Caenorhabditis elegans: one gene and its partners. The protein of the gene in region 1 interacts with the protein of each later gene in a pairwise test. Each region holds a gene or a part of one and is shown in the gene's direction. Other genes may lie near its edges.

The links.
Region 2: the proteins of hpo-34 (region 1) and lec-3 interact in a two-hybrid assay, tested with the Caenorhabditis elegans proteins (2 studies listed by BioGRID).
Region 3: the proteins of hpo-34 (region 1) and abu-14 interact in a two-hybrid assay, tested with the Caenorhabditis elegans proteins (2 studies listed by BioGRID).

The regions. Positions count from the first base shown.
Region 1 is NC_003284.9:11,516,017-11,520,702, reverse strand, and holds the start of hpo-34 (ZM domain-containing protein), read left to right. Parts: upstream 1-1,636; 5' UTR 1,637-1,685; coding exon 1,686-1,713; intron 1,714-1,757; coding exon 1,758-1,858; intron 1,859-1,915; coding exon 1,916-1,969; intron 1,970-2,181; coding exon 2,182-2,262; intron 2,263-2,313; coding exon 2,314-2,379; intron 2,380-2,422; coding exon 2,423-2,523; intron 2,524-2,580; coding exon 2,581-2,698; intron 2,699-2,744; coding exon 2,745-2,849; intron 2,850-2,896; coding exon 2,897-2,998; intron 2,999-3,044; coding exon 3,045-3,152; intron 3,153-3,198; coding exon 3,199-4,686.
Region 2 is NC_003280.10:9,989,251-9,994,177, forward strand, and holds the start of lec-3 (Galectin), read left to right. Parts: upstream 1-1,909; coding exon 1,910-1,989; intron 1,990-2,112; exon of another isoform or gene 2,113-2,118; coding exon 2,119-2,179; intron 2,180-3,006; exon of another isoform or gene 3,007-3,087; intron 3,088-3,204; exon of another isoform or gene 3,205-3,325; intron 3,326-4,369; exon of another isoform or gene 4,370-4,683; coding exon of another isoform or gene 4,684-4,716; intron 4,717-4,892; exon of another isoform or gene 4,893-4,927. UniProt on the Caenorhabditis elegans protein: Binds galactose.
Region 3 is NC_003280.10:9,224,668-9,229,196, reverse strand, and holds abu-14 (Activated in Blocked Unfolded protein response), read left to right. Parts: upstream 1-1,982; 5' UTR 1,983-2,039; coding exon 2,040-2,129; intron 2,130-2,709; coding exon 2,710-3,507; intron 3,508-3,551; coding exon 3,552-3,785; 3' UTR 3,786-4,011; downstream 4,012-4,529. Other genes in the region: ZK1067.3 (uncharacterized protein), read right to left, coding at 4,108-4,158.

The DNA.
Region 1 (4,686 bases):
AGAGACGGAGAAAGATAAATTTCCATGGCAACATTGTCAGCGCACGAAGATTATACAACCAAGCATAGAGATTGACGAAAGATTTGTTTCCTCTATTTTTATTCACAGTTGAACAAAAATTGTGCATGTTGCTGTAGAAATGGACAGATTATGGAACTATTAGATGAAACGCAGACTGTAGAAAAATAAAAATGGCCCGAAAATAAAAATCAGTAAATATGTTTAACTGTATCTGAAACAAAAAATAAATGATATGTTGAAAAATTTGCCATTAATGTTTTATTAAACCAATTTCAGCCGTATTCTATTATGGCACGAAAAACTAATTTCCCGAGTGTTCACAGGATTGCAAGGAAAAGTTCGATGCCGACCAACAAAACATTAATTTTCGTTATAACTCAAATTCGGTAGGATATTCGAAGATTTGAACATTATTTTTCAAACATATCCATTATATCCAATTCTCGAATTTTTTGGGTATGGCATCACAAAGTCATAGTCCGTTTCTGCGTTTTTCACTGTTTGGAATTGTAACTTTAAAAATGTATCATTTTGTGTCTGATTATTTTTTGCAACTCTTAAAAATTCTTACTTACTAGTTTTGCAATGTAATAATGTGTTATACAAATTACAAATGATATCTAAATAATTATATAATTTTAAATGTATAGAAAACTTTTACTTGTCTCAACATGACAATTTTGTTAGTCAAGCTTCAGTTTCCAGTCAAATAAAACATATCACACTAACAGAAACATTTTGGATAAGTTTTTGATTTAAAATTAAATTTTTATCTTTAATTTGTCATTGTCGTTTTCTCGGGAAATATAGTGTTTATCAAAATTAGAATGTGCGTTTAACTAAAATGTAGGATTTCATCATATTTGTAATTGAGCATTTAATAAGATGTTTTCTTGTGTCTTGAAATAAATTCAGATGTATGAAAAAAACTGTATTCGTTCAGATGACTTAACGTCCTTTCAGAGCAAATATTTTCGGGTACTGGCAGACTGTAAACATTAAAAACATCGACATTCTTTTTCTCTTTGTCACTTTAGCAAATATCATCTGCTATAATTTCCACTGCAAGTGCAATGCTTGTTACCTCCCAACTGGAACACTGACAGGTTAAAAAACTATAAAACGCTTGCTTCAAACAGCATGGAATTCAGTTGGAATATAGACCCATTTCTCTCCCATAATTTTAGTTTAATTTTGAACTTATGTTTCCTTTTCTGACATTAAAATATGTTCTCATGTTCTAAGCGTGTCTAAATGGAAGTCCCCCAATAAGTCACAAAAAATTATTATGCTATCATGTAATGTGTCCGGCAAAGAATCATTTATAAATTTCTCTGCGTTTATCAAAATTAAACGTGCTCCAAAAAGTGTGCTGCGTGTCACATACTATCATACCGGTCGTTTCGAAATTGTTCTCTACCCTCACTTTCCCCTTGTCGTCGTGGTTTATCATCTTACATCAAATGGCAGTTATCATCGGCGCCGTGTTTGCCGTTTGTAGCAGAGTTAAGAGCCCGACTGCTTTTTGAAACCAATCTTCGCGTTTTACTTTTTTTCGCAACAATAATAATAATAATAATGATCTAACAACCTTTTCAAATTTAATTCTCAGCTATTTTAGGTTACCTATTGTTCGTGGATTGGAAAAAAGAACCGAAGAAAAAATGATGGAGACTAGGAATGCCAGTGATAGTAAGTATGACATTAACACATTTCCCAATTCCAGTTTTAAAAAGGTTTGATGGACCAAGTCTTTTCTGCTGTCACGCTTCCTGCTGTTGGACAAACAACTACCATCATGGAGCATCATCAAGAATCTCACACTGTTTTTCACCAAGTAAGAAAATTTTTGAACAGTTATTTTGTTGATATTAGTTATTTTATTGAATTTCAGGAGAGTCATCATGTTGAATCTCACCACGAGCATATGGAATTCTCCTCTTCTGGGGTAAGCAAATTTTTATTTACATTGTAAAGATTACTTTAACTTCAATTATAATCTGATTTTTTTTACTTCTGATTTGATAACTTATCAATTTTTTGCTCATCAAAACTGAAAATCAGTTGGTGCTCTTTGATTTCCGTGTTCGAAAAAGAATGACAGTATCGATTGATTTAAGAACAATTTTGTTGGAAAATGAACAAAAAATATTTTTTCAGGTTATCGTAGGAAACGTTGTTGGTCATGATGCCGTTATTCAACGTCGTCCAACTGTGGATACTGAAGATCAGCGGTCGGAGGTATATATTAAAATTAATCTTTCATTATTTTGAAAAAGAGCATTTATTTAGGTGTCCGCAATGTCAAAAGCCACATCAGTTTCTGTTCATTCTAGCGTTTCTCAAAAATCCGCTCAGGTATTTCAGTTCGAACAATGAAAACTATAAACGCCTTTTTCAGCACTACGATCTTCCACCTATCCCACAGTACGACATGCCTCCGATTGTTGTTGGGGAAGCTGTTGTTGGAAAGGCACCATCAGTTGCTTCTTCCAGATCAGGGTATATCTTAAGCTCACTCTACTGAAGAAATAATAAATAATTTTCACACACCTACAGGTCCCACCATTCCGTCGCTTCGCATCATTCGCATCACTCCCAACATTCCCATCATTCCGCTTTGACTCATGACAGCGAGTCGACTATTTCCGAGGGAACTCTTGTGAATGAGCCGATCGTCAGTTTTACAAAGATTAAAAAACAATTTATTCATGATTTTTCAGGTGGTCGGAGCACATGTTGCATCTGAAGCTCCAACCCCACTTGCTGTCGGACAATCATTCGAGCATGACGCAGTGATTGAGCAATTTAAAAATCTTCATGGAAGAGTAAATAAACATTTTCAAACTTAAAACACCTATAATTTCTTTTTCAGGATCAATCAGTGGTTTCCAGCATTGTTCCTGCCTCAGTTCACATTCAAAGTGACAGCGAGGACTCTATTGCTCCATCAAAGTTGACTCACTCGATTGCTGTTGTACGTTTTTAAATGACATATCAGTTAAACTGTGAATTGCTTTCAGGGAGGAGTTGTCGATTCTCACAATGGTGTCAATGTTTTGCACAGAAGTCACGAAGTTGAATTTGTGGACTTTGCTGCTCCAGCTTACTACCAACCACCATCAGTTGTCGTAAGTGTCAAGAGTTTGTGTTTTTTATTAATACAGCTTTGTTCAGGGCGCTTTTGATGCTCATAGCGAGGATTCGTTTGGTTTTGAGAAGGTGGAATATGTGGACACTCATGAGGACCATCACCACAAGTTGGAGGAACAAGTTCCGCAAGTTGTTCATGAACATGTTATTGAACAGCATTACGAGCCTTATCAAATCGTCCATGAGAACCATAATGTGTTATCGGTCGATTTCGGAGAGGATCAACACTCCATAACCCATCATGATCATGACCACCACCACCACCACCATGAATCCCATGTTACCCATACCTTCACCTCCAATGTGAAACAGTCCCGTTCTAACACTGCCTCCACTTACCAAAGTCGCCAAATGTTAGCACATAATGTTGGGCCTAAAATTACTGAGGAGTTGCGTCCGGCTGCGGTGCTGGAGGAGGAAGAGGTTGAGGTTAGGCCCCCAGTGATGGCCTACGTGGCTCCAATCCCAGTTAAGCCACCACGTACCCACGAAGAGAGTCATATCTATAACGCGTACGAAACGGAGATTCATCAGCAAAAGGATATCGTCAAGTCTACTACTGTTGTTCTGGAAGATGTCCGCTCAGGATCTGAAGGTATTCATATCCGAGCGGATAATTCTTCATCTGTTGATATTATAGGTGTTAGCTCCCTTCGCAGAAAGTTTGAGCATGGTGCTCCACCACCATTGTCGCCTGTCTTTGAAATGAAGAAGCATGAGCACCACAAGCATCTTGATCAACACCATCACCACAAACACCAAGACGTCGTCGTTGAGCAAACGCAATTCCAGGTCGGCGATAACTTCATCTCTTCTTCTTCTTCTAAAGCAATAGAGAATCATTATGACGTTCCTTTCGATTCTTATGAGATAGTTGATAAATCTGAAAACACTAAAAAATCCTCATCCTCTTACCACGCCTCCTCCTCCTACCACAAGCAAGCACCACCGCTGCCACTAGTCGATTACCATGTATATGACACGCCAACTGTTGAACATTTCTCCCATTCGCCAGCTTTCTATACTGACGATCAGCGCCACCATTATGTTCCCCAAATCAAGGTGATAACAGAGTATCGACACATCAACCCTCGTCATCATTACGTGGAAAGACAAATTAGAAAAGCTGATGGAAGTGCGATTGCACAAAGTCCGCAAGTTCAAACGATTGACTATTTTAAAGAAATCAACAGGGCTCACCATTTTGTCCCATCTACGCCACCATCGCTGTTTAACAACAAGCGAGAAAGTTTCCACCATCACAGCTTTATTCCAAACAGTTTGGAAGCTGAAAGAAAGAGTCGTAGTGTTGAAAGAGCGCACCATTATCTCCCAGATTCACCAGCGAATGTGAAAGATCAGAGAAAAATAATCAGGGAACATCATTATGTTCCTCTTGAGAAACGCTCTCAATCGTTGGATTTAAAAGTAGTTCATCCTGAACATCACTATGTTCCACTTGTCAGAAAAACAACGGAGGATCATCAACAAAAAGTGAATCACGAACATCAT
Region 2 (4,927 bases), on another chromosome or scaffold:
AAAGATCTTCAAGTTTAAGAATAAAATATCAAATATAAATCGATGACCGAGTTTTTTTCGAGGCCAAATAGCAAAAGTCGATCCCTGATTGTTGTTTATTTTAAAATTCGGAAAAAAAAATCTACTAAATTTCAAAATATTGGAATAGAAAATAATAAATAAGTTGTAGTGAGTCATTGTCTCAAAATGCTTATACTTGGTTTTTATGTATTTTTCTTTCTTTTTCTGTTAATCACATTCAATTATTTTTCTTTTCTATTGTTCATTTTCAACCTTCCCGCTGAAATTCTACTATCACACTCTAGTTTTTAAAATTCAGAAACATCGAAAAATGTGAAAAACGTAAGAGTTTTTTCCTTTAGAAATTAAAACCTAAAAGAAAAAAAAAAACGACAACTGCAACATATCGGATATCTTTTCTCACTCACTATCCAAGACCTCAATTGAGTCATATGTTCTTCGTTAACGTTTTTTTTTTTGAAATTTTTGAGTGATGGAAAAGAAAAGCATGAAAAAGAGGCAAATGAGTGATCGGAGAGCAAGGATAGAAGAGTAGGAGGAAGAGGTGGAGTAGTAGCTAGGAAAGAAATTGCAAAAAAAGTGAGAAGATACATTATGTTGTATATATATTTTTTGTCTTTCTCTTTTCTTCTCACCAACTATATGTATACAGTTGGTATAAATAGTGACTGAAATGTGCAGTTTTTACAGTTCTCTTGCAAATTTGCATCTGGATTTTTCTGAAAAAATTGTTTGTGTAAAAAAAGCTGTACATTGTATTTTTTGCGGCAATCTGGATGATTGCGTTTTTGTTTAAAGTAAAAACTTTTTGAAATTTTTTCACTTCTTTTAAACTGTAAACCATGGTTCCAGCAAGCACTTCTACTAGCGTGAGCATACTAACTCTGCCTAAAAAAAACGTAGGTTTTCCAAATCACTTTCGAAATCCAAATTAATTTCAAAATCTAATGACATATAATTATTTGTCCAACTCTCTCCTTATCCCTCCTGCGTATCTCATTTTCCACACCCAATAATTTTTGTCTCTGAGTTCAAAAAAATGAAACGTGCGGGAAGTAAATAAAAAAGATCAGCAGCAGTGGGAAAAACCCCTCGCCACCTGTTAACCTCACAATTTATCAGTTTTGATTGATTTTTATTTCTTGTGTTGTTTCTGATATTTCGACTCTTGTCGGTGTTAACTTGAATTTAGTTGGAATTATGTGAGTTTTGGTTGTTCAATTTTATATATTTTTGTTTTTTTTTGTAGTTTGTTTCACTTGATTAATTTAGAAGCTCAATCTTTATGCCCACTTTGTCAAATTTTCCCAATAAGGATTTCTCGTAAAACTCCAAGTCATACAGATTCTCAGAAGTAATAGTCTTGATAACACTTTATCCCTGTTTTAAAACCTTAAAACTAATCGAAAATAGTTCGAGCTACGGTTCAGCCGCTTTCTGACAAATTGACAACTTCCAAAATCATTTTTTGCATGAAAAATTCAGATTCCAACAACTGGTATAATTTTATAACATTTCTCGCAACCAACCAAATCAAATCATTTATAATTTTCCCTGCATCCAAAACGATCCACGGGAATTCATTCCCATAATTCCATGACTCACACTTTTATTTCCCGCCTATTCTTTTTCTACAATCTATCACATTCTTTCTTCCTTCCATTCTCTGTAACAATTCAATCAAATATATACTATTTTTCTTCACACAAAACCTCGGATTGTTTAATCTTCCTTTTAGTTCTCGAAACTCTTTCGAAAACGTTTATGATGTTCAAATATAGTTTTGATACCAGCGTAGCCATAACCTCTTCTTCAAAACCAACACAAATATTGTACATCTCACATAGGGGAGAACATCGCCAAATTTGAACTATTCTCTCCTATAAAAATGTTTCGACGAAGATCGAAAAGTCTAGCAGTTACAGAACCTACTACTAATGGTACTGTAAAGAAAAAGAGAGGTCATGGGTATGTTGGTACAAACGAAAATTTTTTAGAGCAAATAATTATGTAATTTTCCAACTTCTGTACAACTTCTCACTTTCCTTAACAGCTATGAAAAATATCATAAAATATTTCAATTCCCAATTTTTTCAGGACCACCGTTCGACTCCCCGTTTATCTTCGAGAGATCATCATGGCCGAGCCGAAATCCTTCGTAAGTTTTTTTTTTCGATCATGCAATCTTTCCGGTTTTTGTTTTTTTTGTGTGCATGTGATTCTGTTTTTTGTTTCATTTTTGAGTTTCAAAAATGACAGTTTCCTCCTAATTTGGAAATTCTAACACAAAAAACATTGCGTGTTGTTCTGTTCTACCCCATTACAGTCTTCTCGGAAATGCCACCCCCTTATTAACACAAATAGCCGACTTGGTGAACCATAAAATTGAGGTTTGAATCTTGAAGAAGCACGATGGAGCTTTTTATGTGCTCGAACAAGAGACAATTGTAATTTAGTGTGGGGGTGGTGGTAAAAAGGACATCAAAGATTGAATTTTCATAAGTGGAGAAAGCTTGGTCTGAAAATGTACGCTTGAAGCATTTCTGGAAATTATGTAAATAGAAAGAATGGGAGTAATAAGAAGAAATTTCAGCTAGCTTATGAATTGTAAAGAAGTTACAAAGAACACATTGTAAATTGAAAACATGTTTTTTTTTGTCTGATTGTGAAATTATAAAAATTTCAGTGATATTTTTAGGGAGATATATGAGCTTCAAAGTTTGTTTTGTGCTGGAATACTTATTTCGCTGTCAAAGTAGAACAAAAAGCTGCAAATAGAATATGAACTGTAATTGGAAAAAAAAACATGCTATGCGATGTTTACACCCTCCATACATTCTAATATTCTCCACTTTCAAACAAATCTTCACTTCATTTTAAACTTTTTTTTCTCAAAATATCCACTTCCCAGTTCAAGTTGCTATTTTTAGTTCGAGCCGAGCTCCCATAGGAGCTTATCCTCCTCTTGTTAGGTTATGTGACCCGGGGCTCATAGGAACCACGTCATAAATCTAAAAGCCTTTATGTGCACGAACCGTTAGCACAATCTTCCCCCTCTTTTGCAGAAAAAGTACAATTGAGTCGGTGGAAATTCAAATTAATTCAAATATTTTTGCTTCAACTTTTCTTTTTTTAACTGAAGCCAAAACTGACACAGATAGACATACACATCCGCCTCCCCTTATTTCCATAAACATTTTATGTCCTTTTGCTCTCTTACTCGCTTAGATTTCTCACTCCCCCTTTTGTTAGTTTACCCTTTGATTCATGCTCATTTTTCTTTTTCTCCAAAAATTTATTTGACGTAGACAAATTGTTTTATGCTCTGTGCTCCGGGAAACTTTAGGCTTTAATCCGGTGTGTGTGTGTGCAACTTGTTGCAACAAAGTCAAAATCAGATGCGAAACGGAAATTCCGGGTGTAATCCAATATCAGGCAGAGAAAAATTGAGCAGGAAAAGAAAAGACAAGGAGGATTTCCCCCTCTTCTTTTTGTTTATTTTCTCCTATTTCAAGATTAGTGTCAGTTTTTCATTGTGGGTGGCAGAATCTGCGCTCTATTGGCAACAAGAAAAAGTGAGAATTTGTTGGAATTGAATAATTTTATATTTATTAGCCCATGAGCATGAACTAGGTTTTTGCAGCGGGCATTTGGAAATCTGGAAACAGTTTTTGAACTATTATTAATAATCACAAACGAACCCCATGATTGTTAGCAACTGCCTATTACCAAGTTGCGAAACAATTTCATTTTTGGTCAAAAATTACGCCTCGACACGACTGAAAATTTTCTGAGCAATGGAATATGCGTCATTAAAAGTTTAATAGTTTCGGCTTCCTGTTCTTAATGCTATTTTCTCCTTAACTGCCAAATTTTAAGAGCAAAGTCGATAAAAATTGCGGAACGAACTCTTTAAATGCGCAAGTGAAAATTTTTCGATCGCGTCGAGACCATTTACCGTTATTTTGCCTCAAAAAATCGGATTGTTACACAACTGGATAATATAATTTATGAACAACTTACATAACTTTCTTCTATCTTGCTCTAACGCCATGAACATTTTGAACCTAGTTGGTAGCTGATTTAAACTTTTGAACTTTGCGCCACAAATAGTGACGTATAGCTGTATTCTGCCAAGATTCATGAAAGTTGACATGAGAACTTTACTCTCAACTCAACTTTCCAAAAAACGTTTTTTTCAACAAAAAGTCACATCACACTTTATGTGTATTTTTCTTTCGTTTTCCAACTTCAATCCAGCTGGCAAGTGGCCAAGTGTCAAAACAATAGTAGCCTCTTCCCCTTGAGAAATAGGCCACGCCCACATTTTGGTGGCTCCCTTCCCTTCGTTGAGCCACCGCCCGCCCCAGCATCTACTCTTGAAGCCTAGTTGCTGCTTCACTTTGTCACCCCCACTTGTTCTATCTTCTACCCGAAGCTCCCTTCGTCTAATCCGCCAAACTGTTGTCGATCAAGAATCTTAATTTGGGACTTGGTGACCATGGTCAACTGAGTCCCAAAACGTGGCTTCAGCAATATCAGAAAAAGAACCAAAAAGAGCAGCCGCCGTGTCTGCCGAGTTGCTCGACATCCAGCTCTTGCTCGACGAGCACCTCATCGTGCTACCCACTGGGAACTTGCTACGAAACGATTGGAGATGATATGCCGTCGGTTTGGCACTGTGCCAAATATATCGTAGGACTTTTATTGGGGGTTCTGGGTGCAGATTTTCATCGTCTTCTTGTAGGACCGTGAAAATCTGAAATTCTGTGCAGTGCTTTTTCTTGCAGTGAACTTTAGTTCTAGTTTGTCCAGTTTTGTGTCAGTTCAGTCAGTTTCAGTTTCTCTTTTTTTCAGTTTTTCAGTTTAAATTTCAACCAGTGATGTCCAATCTAACCATCAAGTT
Region 3 (4,529 bases), on another chromosome or scaffold:
TACCTTGATTCATTGAACTTATGTTCAGAGACTTACCGACAAATGACGGGATGAATCATTTGAGAATTTCTGTAAAGGTGCAACTAGAAGAGAAGTTGTACATTGTTTTTATTCGAAATTAGGCAGAAATTAACCGGCAAATACCGAGGTATATTGCAGGGAGCTATAGTACACATAATAATATCAAATTGACATGATTTATGAGTAGGGAAGTTGATATCATAATTGGTTCAAGTATATCTACTACTACTGACAACTTCGACGAGCCCTGAAACATAAACAGGAAAAATTGGTACTAGATTGTGTAACATACAATTGATGCGTACCTCTTCGAAAATATTTTACCGTAGTCTGAATTTGTACGTGATAAGCTCTCGTCAAAAACAAGAAACTACATACATTGCTGCTCACAACGAAATGCGTTCAATTGAAATTTCTATTTGCCAACCGGGAGCCTCCAGACGGTTAAAACTGTCAAATGATGTGATTCCGTATGACTCATCAATGTCTGACCCAGAAATCCGGTCCTCTCGGAGTTTCTAGTTGTTTTCCACGTGTTCCACGTCACAATTGAATTCACATGGCAACCAGCTGCATTGCATTGGTAAAGTGACCATTAAATTCAATACGAAAAGTAAGCAAATACTTCAATTGTGTGAGTTTTAGTTGACCAACTTTTCATCAGGTTCATGAAGAATGTGAATGAAAAATGTTTTTATTCACTGTGAAGTAGGGGAGATCAAGAGATAAAGAACAGGCTAGATTTGGAGATACGAAAAGCGACAAACATGTGTTTTTATGTAAGCAGTCTTCTCCGAGCATCTTTTTATAGATGTTCGAAATACTTGAAGCGAAAAATTGCGCAACTTGAACTAAACAAGATAATCAGTGCGGTTGCTGCTATTTATGGATGATGATTGCTCGCGAGAGGGGGTCAGCAGGGACGACATTCCTACAAAGGGCATAAGGAGAATGAAAAAGTATGCGGGTAGAAGAAGAGAGCAAATGAGCATTGAGAGCATACTGTATTTAGTGATAAGCAGAGATTTTTGATATCTAAGCTAAGAGTGTCCGGAACATTTGGAAACTAGAAGCATTGGTCATGGAATTTTATTTAGAAAAATTGAAAAAGGAAGTCACACACATAATAAATTATGTGCATCTAAAACGTTAAAAAATCCAAGTATTGTACCGATTTTAATATTTCCAGGTACTGAAAGATTTTGAAAAATAAACAATTTTAGCAGCGTTTTTTGAATTGTCTTTGCTTTACATTGAAAGCTTATATCTCGGTTCTCTTTGGTTTTATCAAAAAATTGTCAACAAACCAAATGCGTGTAAAATGTTTATCTATATATCAATAGTAGAACATTTTTTGATATAACTCATGACAGTCGAGATATGAGTCGTCAAATTAGAGCAGTCGTGGTAAAAACTTTTAAAATCACAAATCAAGAAAGATAATTAAATTATTTTTCGCTGTGTGACCATTTTTATTTCAGCATGCGCTTCAAAAAACTACCAAGTTGCGTTATCATATTCTTTGGTTTACTCCGAAAATTTACTGGTAGCTATATAATTTACCAAAGCTGAACAAATAATCCACTCATTTGGTGAATAGTTCTAAAGTATACAAGCTTCAAGTCATACAGGTTATTTCAAAACTACAGTACCCTTCAAGGCTTTGAGGACCTCCGGTTTCCGAGTATGAATTATGAAATGTTTTTCGTCTAGTCCTCATTGTCTCAATCACTATCTCCAGGCAAAAAGATGAGATCTCTTGAGGGTACTGGACTCTCCCTCAATCCTCCGATTCAAGGAGTTGTTTCGAACGCTTAAGCACTCCTGGCTCCGCGCGGGGCGGAGTCGAAGTGTGCCGCGACCGACCGACCGCCGGCGCCTTCCTCCCCATTACCCCCACCCATCTCCCGCCGCTATATAAAAGGTACGCAGTGCCATCTGGACAGAATACAGAGCCTTCGAGTTCTAGTCCTTCTCCTTCTTTTACCCAACTCATTATTCCCCACATTTTTGTTTCAATGGCAGCCCGCAGAGCAGCTTCGATTCTTCTTATCGCCGTTCTGGCCCTCTCCAGTACCTTCGTCTTCGCTGACGAAGAGACTGTCAAGGTAAATTTCTTTTTTAAATACTACTTTTGTACTTTTGAACATTTATTTAAGCATTCAGTCATACTTTCCCTCTTTTATGCTCACTATTATTTTCGTGTTTTCTGTGTACCTAACCATTAGGACACGGCGCGGATGTGGGTATTGAATGCACAATGTGCATGAATAGGAATAATGAATAGGCTTTAGGAACAAGCTGGTTATGATCATGATCTTATTGATCATGCCCAATTGAAGCATAGCGTCTAGTACATCAGGATCCAAATTTCAGCAATCATTTGTTTAAATAACTTTTCAATTTTAACTATGATGCTTCCTTATGACTGTCTAGACTCTTATTTCATTTATTCCCGTCATTGGCCATTCCTTGAGACCTCACTAATACAAAGTGAAGTGGTCATTTCAAGGGGTCAGCTGGCTTCTTCTCCTGCTCTTTCCCCTCCGATAAAAACAGGAAAAATGATAGTGTAAACAAAGGGCGCATGAAGATTCTCTCCGCGATTGCCCCCCAGAGTGTGCGCGCAAAAATCTAAGCACACTGTCTTTCCTTACGGTCAAACAAAAGAGCCCTAAATAACTGCAGAACGAGACCGGATTGGCGTTGTCGCGTGCCAAGAGACAGTGCTGTTCATCCAACTCCAACTCATGCTGCGGAAACAACAACAACGTGCAATGCATCCCAGTTTGTCTGCAACAGTGCCAGAGCTCATGCCAAACATCCCAATGCATCCAACAATGTCAGCCAGCTTGTAACCAACAGTGCGGAGGAAACAACCAAGTCATCCTTCTTCCACAAACCAACAACTGCAACCAATGCCAACAACAATGCATCAGCTCCTGTGCCACCCCAATCTGTGCTCAATCCTGCAACAACCAATGCTCCAGCTCTTGCGGAAACTCTGCTCCACAAATTGTCGTTCTCCAACCACAACAGAACCAATGTGGATCATGCCAGTCTTCCTGCCAACAGACTTGCCCAACATGCAACTGCCAATCTGCTTGTGCTCCAGCCTGTGGAGGAAACAACAACAATCAGCAAATCATCGTTGTTCAACAGGACAACTCATGCTCATCCAACTGTAACAACCAGTGCTCCAGCTCCTGCAGCACCCCAATCTGCATTCAGTCCTGCCAATCCTCCTGCCAACAGGCCTGCCAGCCAACCTGCCAGCCACAATGCATGCCATCCTGCTCGTCTAGCTGCACATCCAACCAGGCTCCAATCGTCATCGTCGCTCAACAAGGAGACTCATGCTCCAACTCGTGCTCCAACCAGTGCCAGTCTGCCTGCCCAACTCCAATCTGTGTCCAACAGTGCAACTCTCAATGTCAATCCCAGTGCTCGAACTCTTGCTCCGGAAACAGCTGCAACCAACAACAGGTAATAATATTGATTTTCCATTAATTCATGAATCAATATTACAGGTCATTGTCCTCCAACAACAAGACAACTGCCAGAATCAATGTCAATCTTCCTGCATGAACACTTGCCAATCATCGGCTACCGTTCTTCAATGCCAGCCAATTTGCCAACAAACCTGCCAGAATACCTGTCAACAAGCCGCTCAAATCGTTGTTCCATGCCAATCGAGCTCTTCTGGATGTGGATGCTCATCTGGATATTCTCAATGCGGTGGATCATGCTGCCGTCGTCGTTAAGCATCCCCTTCCCTGAATTCTATGAACGAATTCTTACCGTATCCGCGTTTTCTATGCGACAACTTCTGTTTTCGTTTCCCCATCCCACTTCTCACATAACTTTTATTATGACATTGTCTGTAAATAAGTGGTAGCCATGTGAGGTGTCTAATTATTTTATTATTGTTCCCTTCTTTTTCATGATGTTTCATTGTCCTTGAGTTTCGACAATAAATTATTCTAATTTAAGAATTATACAAGAAATGTTTTCATTCGGCAAAACATAAAATAAAAAATCACATATATTCACAGTAATCAATCATCATATAATAAATTGTATTGTTTAGTCCTGTTTGAATAGTCCTCGAGCTGAGCGACGAAGGGTTGAGCGACGCTGAAAAAAAAATTTAAAAAGAAGAAAAACAAATGTATCCAAATTAACAGTTTTTCTAAATTTATTATTGATTTTATTCCGAATTTTGCAAATATAAACGAAGTTACTGAAACAAATTCGAATTTTCGACAGAAGTTTCAAAATTTTCGCGTTTTTTATTCATTGGTTTCTCTTGATTTTTTCCTTGATCTTTTTTAATTGTCACCCAAAAAAAAGTCGTCGAAATTTCAAAATTAGCCTAGAAATGAGTAATGTAGCATTAGTTTCAACTCTTTTTTTTCGGAAAACTTTCTGAAAAAATGACAAAGTATCGAATCAAACACTAAAGAATTTTTCAATTAATGAATGAAAATTCCATAATTCGATAGAAA